2 linked regions of the Arabidopsis thaliana genome follow. The protein of the gene in region 2 interacts with the protein of the main gene of each other region in a pairwise test. Each region holds a gene or a part of one and is shown on either strand. Other genes may lie near its edges.

Evidence for each region.
Region 1: the proteins of SEC8 (region 2) and SEC6 interact in a two-hybrid assay, tested with the Arabidopsis thaliana proteins (one study listed by BioGRID).

What each region holds. Positions count from the first base shown.
Region 1 is NC_003070.9:27,007,901-27,011,500, reverse strand, and holds the start of SEC6 (SEC6), read right to left. Parts: upstream 1,938-3,600; 5' UTR 1,627-1,937; intron 1,532-1,626; 5' UTR 1,480-1,531; coding exon 1,351-1,479; intron 1,158-1,350; coding exon 1,119-1,157; intron 1,033-1,118; coding exon 944-1,032; intron 857-943; coding exon 766-856; intron 596-765; coding exon 506-595; intron 401-505; coding exon 330-400; intron 79-329; coding exon 1-78. Other genes in the region: AT1G71810 (Protein kinase superfamily protein), read left to right, coding at 3,537-3,600. UniProt on the Arabidopsis thaliana protein: Component of the exocyst complex involved in the docking of exocytic vesicles with fusion sites on the plasma membrane during regulated or polarized secretion. Involved in polarized cell growth and organ morphogenesis.
Region 2 is NC_003074.8:3,220,750-3,231,034, forward strand, and holds the start of SEC8 (subunit of exocyst complex 8), read right to left. Parts: upstream 8,286-10,285; 5' UTR 8,011-8,285; intron 7,687-8,010; 5' UTR 7,608-7,686; coding exon 7,566-7,607; intron 7,265-7,565; coding exon 7,052-7,264; intron 6,759-7,051; coding exon 6,585-6,758; intron 6,352-6,584; coding exon 6,247-6,351; intron 6,024-6,246; coding exon 5,914-6,023; intron 5,768-5,913; coding exon 5,588-5,767; intron 5,196-5,587; coding exon 5,051-5,195; intron 4,969-5,050; coding exon 4,862-4,968; intron 4,522-4,861; coding exon 4,214-4,521; intron 4,129-4,213; coding exon 3,968-4,128; intron 3,870-3,967; coding exon 3,754-3,869; intron 3,258-3,753; coding exon 3,187-3,257; intron 3,110-3,186; coding exon 2,979-3,109; intron 2,897-2,978; coding exon 2,847-2,896; intron 2,698-2,846; coding exon 2,597-2,697; intron 2,204-2,596; coding exon 2,094-2,203; intron 1,913-2,093; coding exon 1,805-1,912; intron 1,358-1,804; coding exon 1,175-1,357; intron 1,096-1,174; and 6 more. Other genes in the region: FLD (protein FLOWERING locus D-like protein), read left to right, coding at 8,388-10,149. UniProt on the Arabidopsis thaliana protein: Component of the exocyst complex involved in the docking of exocytic vesicles with fusion sites on the plasma membrane during regulated or polarized secretion. Involved in polarized cell growth and organ morphogenesis.

The sequences.
Region 1 (3,600 bases), on a different chromosome or scaffold from region 2:
TTGTAATAGTTGGAAACATGACCCCATAGTGTCTTCTCGAATGTTTCCCATGTTCTATCAACATCTTCAAAATACTCCCTGAACCCATCAAAACAACTCTTTAGAAGTTGGTATGCATGCTCATGTAAAAAGAAAAGACAGTCCAGAGGCGGGATCAAATCATCATATGCACTACCAAAAGAGTAACAGCTCTACCTACTGCTCATTACTTTAGCATAGAGACCTATTTTCTTTCATAGCACACCAGTAACTCTTGAATTAAAGCTTTCGGGCTCACTTCATGTAAGTACAAAAAGCAAAGAAAGGAAACGAGTGGAATATATACAAACCTCAGCCTCCCAACCTCCTCTCCAGCAGCTGCTAATGCAAATCTTCGTTTACCATCAAGTGCTGTTAATCTCTATGGAAGAAAAACAGAATATTATGTCTTACACCAAACGTTCTTTTTTTCAAAGTGATGCAGTCAGAAATGCCTGGAATCCATGGGAAGAGGAACTCATGCTACCTCATAAGTGTTAACGATTTCTTTATCATCACTCAAAGAATCCCTAGCCGCAGCAGCTTCAACAGAAATTGACATCATACCTTCTACATCCTTGAAAAAAGAGAATGAGGTAAAAATAAGTTGACAAAAACTTGGAAAGCATTTAAACATCTGAGACGACCATGCAGAGCTATATATATTTGCGTTCAAGAATAAGTTAGAAGGACAACACTGAACCAAATACTGTAAGCAATACAATCAGTGCTCATCGGCATATCTACCTTTAGAGTTTTGTTTAGATTATTCCTGGCGTTACTCAGCAGCTTTATTTGGTCATGATTGTCAATCAAAGTTTGACATTCCTGACAAAGCCTGTGGCACAAGAAGAGAAGTTAGAGGGAGAGAAATGCAAAAGTTGGTAACTCAGCTTCAAGAATCTCTAGTCAAGCAAAAACATACTTGTCGATAGAAATGAAATTATCCCGCAGTTCATAAATGGTTTTCTCAGATGATGAAAGTGACTCTAACCCAGCTTGAGCTTGTTCAACCTGAAGTTTGTCAACAGCTATTACTTAAGAACAACAAAAAAGTCGAAATACATTAAAGTACAAAGAAGGCCAGATTAAAGCTGTACCTGCTCAGCAACCATAGTACTGAGCTGTGCATCATTTGCCTGATTGAAACAGCAAGCATCACTAGTCAGGTCATTAAAAATTTCCAGAAAATCGAAAATAAAAGATAACAATAGCATATCAAAACCTAACAACTCAAATCTAGCATTGCTCAGGAATCACTAATACTCAGTGCAAATGATACTTCAAAAGCCAATTCAGTTCCAATTGCAATTCAAAAGCAAGATGTCAAACCTGTTGACGAGCGATGTAATCGGCCTTGATTGAAGAAATAGACTGCAAAAGTTCAGGTAAGGGTAAGAGCTTCGCCACTTCTCGCACAGCCGCTTCCTTCGCTTCCACACCAAGATCTTCGACCATCATCTTCGCTAAATCACCTTATTTACGAACTCCGATCCTAAATTGAAGGCTACCTCTGCAAAGTTATTCAAAATTCCAGCACAATTACGATAACGCAGAGGAGAATCAAGAGATCTGGAAACAGAAACGTAGAGGAAAAATGGACGCAACCGAATAAGAAGTCATTGAGCAAATATCGAGAGCCAAATGTGCGATTCTCCAACTTCAATTACTTCGTCGTCCTCTTATCTTCTTCCTTCGCTGATTCTGAAGATCCTGGAAACAGTGATGTTGGACGCAGATCAGCTGGGAAGAGAAGCAACGATTAAATTTCTGGAACGAGTCTCATCTATCGTCTCGCGACTCTAATGGAAAGTTCGGAAACGCTGAAATTTTCCGTCTCGCCGGTTTTGATTTTTCTTTTTCTTTTTTGCCAGCTGTTGATGCAAACCTATTTTTTTTTTTTTTTTTTTTGCAAACGCTAACGCTAATTCGTTGAGCAAAACGCAAATCTTAACCCCATGCTCGGGTTCGTGTTATTTTTTATTTTTTGTTATATGTTTAATCATTTGAAATGTCACTAAAATATCATCGATTTTAAATCTTACCATAACGTATCGAATTCGAAAATATTAGTCGTAGGGGTCTGATTGGTTATCTAGCGATGTTACATACGTTTGATATTAATGGGGTTGCATATGTTTTGATAAGTTTATAATTTGACGACATGCTTTGCAAAACTTGGATGTGATATATTAGTTGTGATATCATCAAAGTTTTGCACATAACGTAGTACATGTAATATATAAGAAATAAATCGATGAGATGGATGGAATATTGAACTCGACGAAAAAGAAAAACAAAGCCTAAGAAAATGACAGCTTCCAAGTACAAACTATTTGAAAAGAAATTTGTAAAATCTCATAAATATCAATAGAATAGAGTTACAATATTTTGAAACAAATAATTATTCATCTAGAGTCCGTTTAGCGTAGAGGATAAACGGACGCACAATTTTCGACAATACATTTATATAAATATAATCAGTAGCAAAATGATAATAGTTAGGCATTAGAGTCACTAGGTAGTCTAGGTTCACAACATGGACATACCATGCGACGTAGGTAATGGCCATACAAGCACGAAGCAAGAGCTACCATAAGGACGCCCGATACCACGCCGATGTATTCTGTCAAATGATACATGTCCATCTTCTTGTTCACCACACCACCAATCTCTAATCTTTCTTAACCTTTTTTTTCGTGTACTGATTATATTTATATACATGTATCGTCGACACTAACTTTACATTTTTGTAAATATATCAGCAACATTTGGTAAGTTTACATTTTTTCATTAAGAACATACTAGAGAAAATTCGAAAGTTTACATTTAGGAAAAAATCGAAAATATATTATGTTCGAATTCTTTCTAAAATACTCCACAAACTGATATTATGATATTTACTAATTACTACTACTAGTAAAAATATATTTTAAGATATGTGTATTTCATTATTCAGCTTGTTTCAGATTTTGATGGTTTACATAAAAAGAAGAGTCATTGGTATCTAAAAGGAATAAGATCTACAGAGTTATATATCAATTACCAAATATGTGGATGTGATATATTCTTTATCTCTTTTATATATACACTAAATTTCTTTTTCTTCAAAGGAAGCATCCAAGGACAGATAAATAAACAGACAATCTACAAACTTTTTCATATGTTTTTCTTAAGTTTTAAACGTAATTATTATGAATAGTTTGGAATGATACAGTTTTAGTCACTAACCAAAAAATATGATTAGTAGCTAAATAAAGTACATTTATATGACATATAAATACTTAAAAAACGTACAAAAAGATTGGTGCCATTTGTGTGACACAGAAAATCCCAGCAAATGTCGAGAGAGAGAGAAAGTATAAAGAATGTGACCGGCAAAAAAGAGATAAAACAGTAGAGAACCATATTATTTGCCATTTCTTAGAAGAATCCACTGCATGATATTCAAAATCTCACCAACAACCATTGGCGAAGAAGAAAAGAAAAAGAAGATAACTCTGTAGATTTTGAAAGAGATGCTTCGGCTTCCTTCTTCTATGCCAATCGTTTCTTTTCCCGCCAATCCCAATCTGCTGATTA
Region 2 (10,285 bases):
GTAAAAAGAGGAAGAGTAAGAAACTTGGTGCAGAAATATCGGGTTCAAAAGATTGTCATCTCGCAAAAGCAGTTCAAAATTACATTGGACAGTGGACACTTAACAAGTATGTAATTCACAGCAATGAATTAAGATGACTTCATCATCTGGCTAACTAGATTCTCTCAGCAGAAGAAAGTGATATGAATATTTGATGGCTATGAAACTAAACAAGGCTGATTAAAGTGTATTCCTGGAATATTGTTTTTTTTTAAGTACATAGCTATAATCAGTCCTAACCTGTGAAGTAAGAGATATCACAAAGTCGTCCGGCTCTTCAGCATCCTCATCCTCCAAATATTCCCTATTCGTCATTTCCTTTTTAACACCATAGTATTTTCGTAAGTTTTACAGGCCAGAGATAGAATTCTCATAGTCATGCCACTTTCCTCACAAAGGGAAGATCCATCACATACCTGAAGATGAAAGACTGTTTCCAATTGCATCTCAACACGAAGAACCTTTAGGCAATCAGTCGCAAGTTTTCTGTACTCATCTGCAAATGATGCCAGATTCCTAGGAGAAGCTGCTTGATTTCTGCTATTACCTTCAGCTTGACTCGCCACACGAGGAACTGCTTGTCCAAGCCTAAAGATTTTGGAAATCAAAACTTCAGAAAGAATTTTCATTTGCTTGCTGTTAGGGAAGGAAGAACTGGCTATCTTTCTCGACATGATGAAGGAGCACAACAGAAAGGGTAAAAACAACATTCATGGAAGACCCCTTAAGTTATGCAAGCTTTTGTTTTACACTTGATGAAAAAGTTTTGTGAGTTTTTTTAAGTTTGAGCTGGAAAAGACAGTGATCAGTCTAATTTAGTCTCTTAGCTATCCTATTTTTACTATGCATGTCCTTTTTCTCTTTTATAACATCATGGAACTTCGCAATTTTCTGTGTCCTTAAAACATCTAAGATGTAATAAGAGATGAGGAACGAGCAAATGCATAAAGAATCTGAACCAATGAATCACCTCTCAATAGAGTCTGCCACGTATTCAAGCGAGTCACTGAGAGAAGCTAACAAAATCAGTTTGTTGTCATCACGAATTAGATTATCCTGTAAGAAAACAACTTAATTATCTTCACCGAATGAAAAATTCTTACTAGAATAAGTATCAGAGAACACATATTTTTACCTGCTTGATAGGTCGCAAACTCAAGAATAGGTCACTGAGTTCTACTTCAGTGCCAACAGCCTCAGAGTGAGAAACGGCATGGCCAAGCGTAGATGGTAAACAAGCACTCGCCGCATCAAGCCGCATCAATTTCTCAATATCATGCCTCCCAATGAGCATGTAACTGAGCTTCTCTAGAACAGCCTGAAATACTAACAATGAAACCTAAGGTCAGAAAAGTGTGTACGAAGGAAGAAATACAACGCTTTACATTTAGGGAAACTAAAGAGGTATTAAATGGGTAAGAAAATGCAGATTTTTTATCAAAGATGCGAAAAGGTGCATTTAAGACTGGCTCCATATTCTTCCACATCACTCTTTGAATCAATACTCTCTGAGGATTATTGCTTCTAAGCATTTAATGCCAAGTTCACATAGCCCAAACTGAACTCTAGCTGGTAATCCACAGTCATATCATCTAATTCATTTACCTCCAGTTGAATTTTTAACATCACATTACGCTGACAAAACTACTTTTAGTATAAACTTTTGTGCTATAGGCGCAAACCCCTAAACCAGATGCCCAACATATATAGATTAGAAGAGTCAAAAGGAAGAGGAAAACAAATAAGAAAAGAGGAATATCCATGCCTCCATGTATGATGTTCGACATCTCTCAAATGTCCTCTCAAGAAATGTCTGAACATACTTCACAAGATCAGTAGCAAATTTAGGCATGGCTTGAGCCCAGCCAAGAACCTATAAAATTTGAAGAGCAAGTAGTTTCATCAAAACACAAATATCTTGAAACTTGAGAAAACAAAAATGGATTAAATGATGAACTGGAAGTAACCACTCAACTAATCCATTCTTTTAGGAAGATGAAAATTATGAAAAATAAAAACTTTTATCTTGCAGTTTTAAAGCATAGACGACTTGCCTCTTTTGCAAGGAGATCTATTGCTAGAAGACCTTGTAAGATAGGTCGTCCCTTTTCTACGGTTGCGGTGTAAGTAGTTGTATGTGCACGCGGCCGAAATGCAGCAGCGCCTGCAAAATGATTTCAGAACCATGGGTTTCTAACCTTGAATTTATACAGAATTACACACCGACATTACTGGTACTTTGTTTTAAATAAATTAGTGAAATGTAAATATTCCTATAAAATATTTCATGCCAAGAATCTTAAAGATATCTGCAATAATTCTCAAAGATGCTTTAACTTTTCATAAAACTGCCATACCCTATATTGGCAGACCAATTCAATTAGTTTTGAGAGCAAATGCTTCTATTACGACTTTGTGATGGCAAAACTCCAAGTCTTTGGGGCCAAACTAACAGCCCACTTTTCAAGATGCAATTCTATGTTATACATTTAGAGAATAATTACCCTAAAATAGCAAAAAACTCTATGATCAAATCTCTATAGTATATGGGGTTTACTTGATATAGCTTGCTGTACGCCTTTCCTATAGTCCACAAACATTGTCGGTAACAGATGGTCCTTCACAAAGTTTTCAGTGAATGTAAGCAATCCATCATTCCTGCATCAATTATTAATAACCCGATGGTGAATATACTAGCAATTTCTCAGCACTTGAGAAAACAATAATTTCATTTTGGGCTTGTGAGCAAGTAGTTTTGCTTTGCCAGGATGACAGCCTTCAAAGAAAAGTGGAAATTTTGAACTTACACAAGCTGGGAATGCTTTTTGGGCAACATTGAAGTGATTTTATCTGTAAACTGCAAGACACATAAGATCATAAGTCTACAAAAAAAACTGATGACATTGAATGAAGATGCTTAGATGAACCAGAATCTAAACCTGAAGAACAGGCCGGTAAATAGATGCAGCTAGATATATTCCTTGTTCAGGCAAAACAGCTGCAGATCCATAACCTTCCAGTGATGCATTTGGAGCCCTCTTTCCCCAGCCTTGACGAATGAGATCGGCTCCTGCAATCAGCAGATAACGTCATCAAGTCCACCAAAGGCATTCTAACTAAAGAAAAGTCGGGATGATTGATTATTACCCTGATTAGATATTGATACAGTTGCATCTGTAAACCGAAAGGTGAATGTTAGGCCATCCTCAGGTGCATCCCTGCAGCCCAACATTATCAATCAAGTATCAATACTACTAATGCATATCTTACAAAATAGCCTTGCAAAGCACTATGATGCTGAAAGAGAATGCGACATGTTTGTATGTTAAACAACAGTTGAACTATTTCCAATATTGACATTTAAAAGGATAGTAAATAACCCAGACAGGCTAAAGATCCAGCAACCAAAAAGTTCAAATCTGTGTTATACTCCTCAGGGCTCCACTTTACTAGCGCGCTGAGAAGAACCTAAATGACAAATTTTTAGACTTAGGTATCGTAAAAACCTTCTTATTTTACTGTCGGAAGATATCTCAACCCTAACATCCTCTCTATATAATCGAATGACTACACCAGGTGATTCACACCAGGCCTTCAGAACCAAATCTTAAACGTCTAATTCTTGGGACATCTTTCATTGTTTATGTACCTACATGATAATGAGAAAATCACCAGGGTAAATGTATGAACTACCAATGTGTGTGGGTCACTTGCCTTTTGTCTTTCTTCGGAGCCTTCTTTGCAAGCTTAGCAGTTTGTGCAGCAGCATCTGCTGAAGCAGCTTCTGGAGTTGCTCGTAGAATCTCACATATGAGTTGTTGGCATTCACTCTTCATCAATTAACACATAGAATTTCAATAAGCGTAAGTATGAGAATCCAAACATTTAGCTTCACGACAAATTAGATATTTGGAGTATAATAGCAAACCTGTAAGACTGTCAAGGGAAAACTGATAGTGTAGCCTCCAGTAGCTTGGGATGCTTCAGACTCGGTGTTCCAATTCACATCAGTAGGCAATGACCTTGGTGTGTTAATGTCATGTTGTGAAGCCTTCATCTCCAAAAGCTCTCCAATAACAACATGATTTTCTATAGAAGCAACAGTAACAAAATTTTTGAGCGTTGACTATTGAAAATGAAATATTGAGATGAGTTTAAGAGTTGAATTTCTCACCAAATATCTTGACAATAGTATCTAAAATTGAGTCAAGAAGTTCCTTCGCTGCAGCCTGCGCTTTGCCTCCAGGAGCCATAAGAGGCGAAACAGGGCTCACAGCTAGGTGAGTTCCTGAATTTGATATCCCATTTTGAGGTTTCTCTTTTGATAACCGGTAGGCCTCTGACTGTCCTTTGATTAAATGCAATCCAGCAGCTACACTTCGATCACCCTGACTACACGCGGACTTTGACAAATTTGTAGTCTCCAGATGGGCTTTAATCTTGGATATTATGATTTCATGAATTGTGGGTCGAAGTTTTTGGCTGCAAGCGAACACAAAATCATAACTAAGAAAAGTTCACAATTTCTAAGCCGGAATGTGCTAATTTCCATCAAGTGGAAAACTACTGTGCTGCATCGGTTATCCATTTATCTTTAAATTCAAGAATGATAAAGGTTCAGTCCCAAAAATTACACATATACATTTAGTATCTAGTGATGACATGGGTGACAAGTTAACTAAAGAAATGAGGCCATCTGCTAGCGATCTAACACTAACAGATATTAAAGGAGTTATTAATCTATAACTATATCCAGCTGTGAAACAGAAACAGTAGCATTTATAAAACCATTTAAAAAAATGAAAATAATTAGAAAGCCAACCATATGATAGCACCAGCAGCTGCAACTTTGCCAAGCATGCAGAGACACTGAACAAGGGTCTGTAGATACTTCACATGCAGTGGATCATCACTCTTTCTTACTGCTTCCTGAAACAGGAGAAAACACATATCATGACACTAATGAAATATGGGGAGAAATATGTTATAAGGCTGAATCACAGACACATACAATAAACTCATCAGGAGTGGAATCAGAAAGCCATGGAGGAAGTTGGTGAGAAAGCAATTTACTATCAGTGCCATTCCTGGCAGTATCTGCGGTGGATTCATCATGTTCTACGGAGTCTTCTTCATCATGTCCATCAAATGATGAACTACGAAACACAATGTGATAAAAGATACAAACATTAGCAAAGTCAAGGAATAGCAAAACATGTAAAGTATATTTCGTAAAACTAGAACAAAGGTTGTGTGGCTAGACAAAGCAACTTCTGCAATAATCAGTTTACAGTATAGTTTCTTTTATCAACAAATATTCTAATGAAAGAATTTACAAGGAGAATCTCCACATAATGATTAGGAAATGATGCAAGTATATTAATCTCAGTATTAATAATAGAGCAAGTGAAAGCCTCTATGGAGAACTACAACTAAACAGACAGTTACTAAACATTGATCACTCAGAATAAAGTTAACAATATACACGAAAAAATGTTCCTAATATCTCATGAAGAATACACTGAAGGGAAAGGATGCTATATCATACCTTTCATCATTAGAAGCGGTTCTATATGAACCATTTGTGAGCCCTCTAACACCAAACTGACTATCACCTTTCAGTGTCCGTGTTCTACGTGACAGTGGTTGTGAGCTCATTCGACTAGCTGCAACAGCTGTTGTCGTTGGTACTTCATCATCTCTTTCATATATGCTTGACGCAACTGAACTGCAGCATAAACATGGTCAAGAACAGAAGATTGTGCACTGAAAGAAGTGATGAGGCAAACAATCAAACAAGCAGGCCACTAGATCCGAGGATAAAAAGCAGCACAGCTTCTGAAATTTGCTTATAGAATTGCAAAAGAAACCTACCTGTATTCACCTCTATTGTATAGGTGTGCATGCAAATCATCTAGAATTTTGAAGAAAAGGGCTCCCCGCAACTTAGTTAGCTCAGATCTGACATCTTGAAGAGCACCAACCTAGGTTAACGTACCAAAATATCTATGAGTTCAACATACAAGTGAACAGTAGATCCCTTGGACAGAGATATTTCTAAAGTCCCAACAGAACTTCGATGATCCCAGATCCTCTTCAATGGATTTATTACAAAACAATCCTAGAGATCAAATTGATAAATGAATGGGAAGACCCACAATATTCCCATGACAATGCATTTGTTAAAATTGGCAGTAAGTAAATTACCGTTTGAAGCCCCTCACGCTCCAGCATTAGAGACGACTGGAGATACACTTGAATAGCAGCGTAAAACTGCTTATCAGCAATGAGCTTCTCAATACGAGATGGAACCTGTTCAAGGTTTCAAGAGGCAGGGTCACCATTTTCACATCAGAAAAGCAGTTTCTTTTAAGTAAGCCAAAATGAAAAAAAAGTAAGTACATATATCGGGAGCATATCAACAAAAGTAACATCAGAGATACAGAGATGATGAATGAAGTATGAAACTTGATAGCAGCGCAGATACATAGCAAGCACTGTAAACTCAAAATAAACAAAGAAATGTTACAGCTAATCCAACCAACCTTGGCAATGCCCTCGATTTGATCCAAAAGTGAGATGATGTGCCGCAATGTAACAGAACGGTACCACAACTGATGTAATTGTTTATTGCGTGCACCCAAGCTCTGTTTCGCTTCTGCTAAATCGTGCTTCAAGTCGCCTATCTTTTCAGTGGACTCACTGAATAATCGCAAGATCTGATGAGGAATACATTGAAAGCAGAGCAAAAGAAGAGAGATAATCAAAACCAAGGTGTTCCACAAATGAAATTTTAGTAGATAAATTACAACAGAGGGTACTATTCCAAAAAGAAAATTCTACATGCAGAAACCATAGAAGCAGCCATAGTTAGTATCAATATTAGATTTGTTGTATCTTTGGCAAATGAAGCGTGCAATATGGAAGTCAATAAGCGGTAACAGAGGATGCTACTTTAGAATAACAGAACGAACTATCCAATAAAAAGGAAGAGCTAACAGATATTAGAAACCTGTGAATAGTTTTGAATGGCCTTGTTGAAACCACCATGATAAGCATGGACAACTTCATCAACAACCTCCTCGACAACATCACTTTGTTCCTTTAATATATGAATGTCAGCTTCACGGTCTTTTGATGTCAAAATATGAACAACATGTGGTAAAGAGTCAAATCGTGCAGCAGCCCAGCTCTCATCTATTCTTGCCAGCTCCTCCCTAAGGTACTGCAATAACCATCAACACTCAGGCACATATACACACACATGTACTCCAAAACCAAATACATAACCAAATCAAGAGTGGTGGTAATTCAGTCAATTTCTTGTCTAGCCATCGTACAACTTCTTACAATTAACTCCAACCCCGAAATGAAGAGATATAAGAAAAAGAACCGTTATACTTAAATGTCCCTATAAATCCCCAAGGGGATGAAAGAACACCATAGAACAACACAATTCCTCATAAGCCCAAACTTCAGGTTTTCCAACTCAAGTAGGAGTCTACGAGTGAGGAAAGTGAACTTACAGTTTTATCCGAGGGTACAGGCAAACCATTGAAAATCCCCATGCTGGCGAACTCACTCCGATTGGCTTATTAGAGCCGAAATGAATGTTCCTCAGCACATTCCAATCAAAGCTCTCTGTAGCTGAAAGCAAAAGTCCAAAACCCCAAGACGAGTTAAACACATACACGAGCTAGAGACCGCGATATTACGCAGTTCAGTACACACAAAGAAGCTAGTGGACCCAACGGCGAACATAGAATTCAAGTCAGGAGAACAAAATGTGAACAATTCAATCATTACTCCTTCAGCGAAAGATCTGAGAATCATAATTCGAATTACATGAAAAATTCAACTGATGACGAGACTATCGGCGTATACAAAAATTAATCAAACACTACGTCTGGAAGTAGATCTAGAGAGAAAAGAATATCGAGAAACAAATTCGATTTCAGCTGCGAATCTTACCTGGGATACGAATCCACGCTAGAATCTGATCAACACGTTCCCGATCACGAAGAGAAAAGCTAAATCTCGAGAAAATGGAGAAGACGAAGAAGAAAAGGTAAAAATCTATACGATACGCGTTTGTTTTATTCTCCTTCCAATTTCTTCTTCTAATTTTCCAGACTTTTCTTCTCTCTCTATTTTTTTTTCTTTTTCTGTTTTACTTTTTCCTTGTTTTCTGTTTTTTCCCAAATAATAATTTAAAAATCGTGGGAAACTAAATCATCAAAAAGCTCTTCAATTAAATAAAGATAAAGTTAATCCAGTAACCAAACAATCCTTTTCTTCTTCCTCTTCTCATCGATCACTCTCCTGCAGTTTCTACGGCGACGGAAACGATGAATCCACCGGATAATTATGTTCCGTCTGTTTCTCACTCTCAATTCTCTACTCCTCCTCCTCCACAGTCGAGCTCAAACACCAATACCGAAACAAGTTTGAATCCATTTCCGAATTCGATCTCTACCTCAATCTCTAACCCTAGTTTTGAGCAGATGGTCTCATTCTCCGCACCAAAGAAACGAAGGAGAGGACGTTCTCAGCGCTCAATGTCTTCGCTTAATTCCCTTCCCGTCCCTAACGTAGGTCTTCTTCCTGGTAACAGTAATTTCGTGTCATCTTCAGCTTCTTCTTCCGGTAGATTTAACGTAGAGGTCGTCAATGGATCAAACCAGACTGTGAAAAGTTATCCTGGGATTGGTGATGAGATCATTACGATTAACAAGGAAGCTACCACTGAAGCTTTGCTTGCTCTCACTGCTGGGTTTCCTGCTGATTCGCTTACCGAGGAAGAGATTGAATTCGGTGTGGTGCCTATTGTTGGAGGCATTGAACAAGTCAATTACATTTTGATTAGGAACCACATTATATCCAAATGGCGAGAAAATATATCTAGTTGGGTCACAAAGGAGATGTTTCTTAATTCGATTCCTAAACATTGTAGTAGTCTCTTAGATTCGGCTTATAATTACTTGGTTACACATGGATATATCAATTTTGGAATAGCACAGGCGATTAAAGATAAGTTTCCTGCTCAGTCAAGCAAGTCTAGTGTGATTATAGTTGGTGCTGGTTTATCTGGGTTGGCTGCAGCTAGGCAACTGATGAGGTTTGGCTTCAAAGTCACGGTTTTGGAGGGTAGGAAACGACCCGGTGGACGGGTTTATACCAAAAAGATGGAAGCTAATAGGGTAGGTGCTGCAGCGGATTTAGGTGGGAGTGTTTTGACTGGAACATTAGGAAATCCTTTAGGGATTATAGCGAGACAGCTTGGTTCTTCTCTCTATAAGGTACGAGACAAGTGTCCTCTTTATAGGGTGGATGGTAAGCCGGTTGATCCAGATGTGGATATAAAGGTTGAGGTAGCGTTTAACCAGCTTCTAGACAAGGCAAGTAAACTTAGGCAGTTGATGGGTGATGTTTCCATGGATGTCTCCCTTGGGGCAGCACTCGAGACATTCAGGCAGGTTTCTGGGAATGATGTGGCCACCGAGGAGATGGGTTTGTTTAACTGGCATCTTGCTAACTTGGAGTATGCAAATGCGGGCCTAGTATCAAAGCTTTCTCTTGCATTCTGGGATCAAGATGACCCATATGATATGGGTGGAGATCACTGCTTTCTGCCTGGAGGAAATGGAAGGCTGGTTCAGGCTTTGGCTGAAAATGTACCAATATTATATGAGAAGACCGTCCAAACAATCAGATATGGTTCAAATGGTGTCAAGGTAACTGCTGGAAATCAAGTGTATGAGGGTGATATGGTGCTGTGTACAGTTCCCCTTGGTGTCCTTAAGAACGGATCCATCAAATTTGTTCCCGAATTACCTCAGAGAAAGCTTGATTGTATAAAGAGATTAGGTTTTGGGTTACTGAATAAAGTTGCAATGCTCTTTCCGTATGTATTTTGGAGCACAGATCTCGATACCTTTGGGCATCTTACTGAGGATCCGAACTATCGAGGTGAATTCTTTCTGTTCTATAGCTACGCACCGGTTGCTGGTGGTGCTCTCTTGATCGCGTTGGTTGCGGGAGAAGCTGCTCATAAGTTTGAGACAATGCCACCCACTGACGCAGTGACTCGTGTTCTTCATATTCTTAGGGGTAATAGATTTCACTATCTATTGATTGTCATTTAATTGAATTTCAATTTTTACCTGTCAATATCAATCTTCAAGAATTATTAGTTGAGGATTTGTATTCCAGATTTGTTAAAGTTGATGCTAGCGTCTGACGCAAG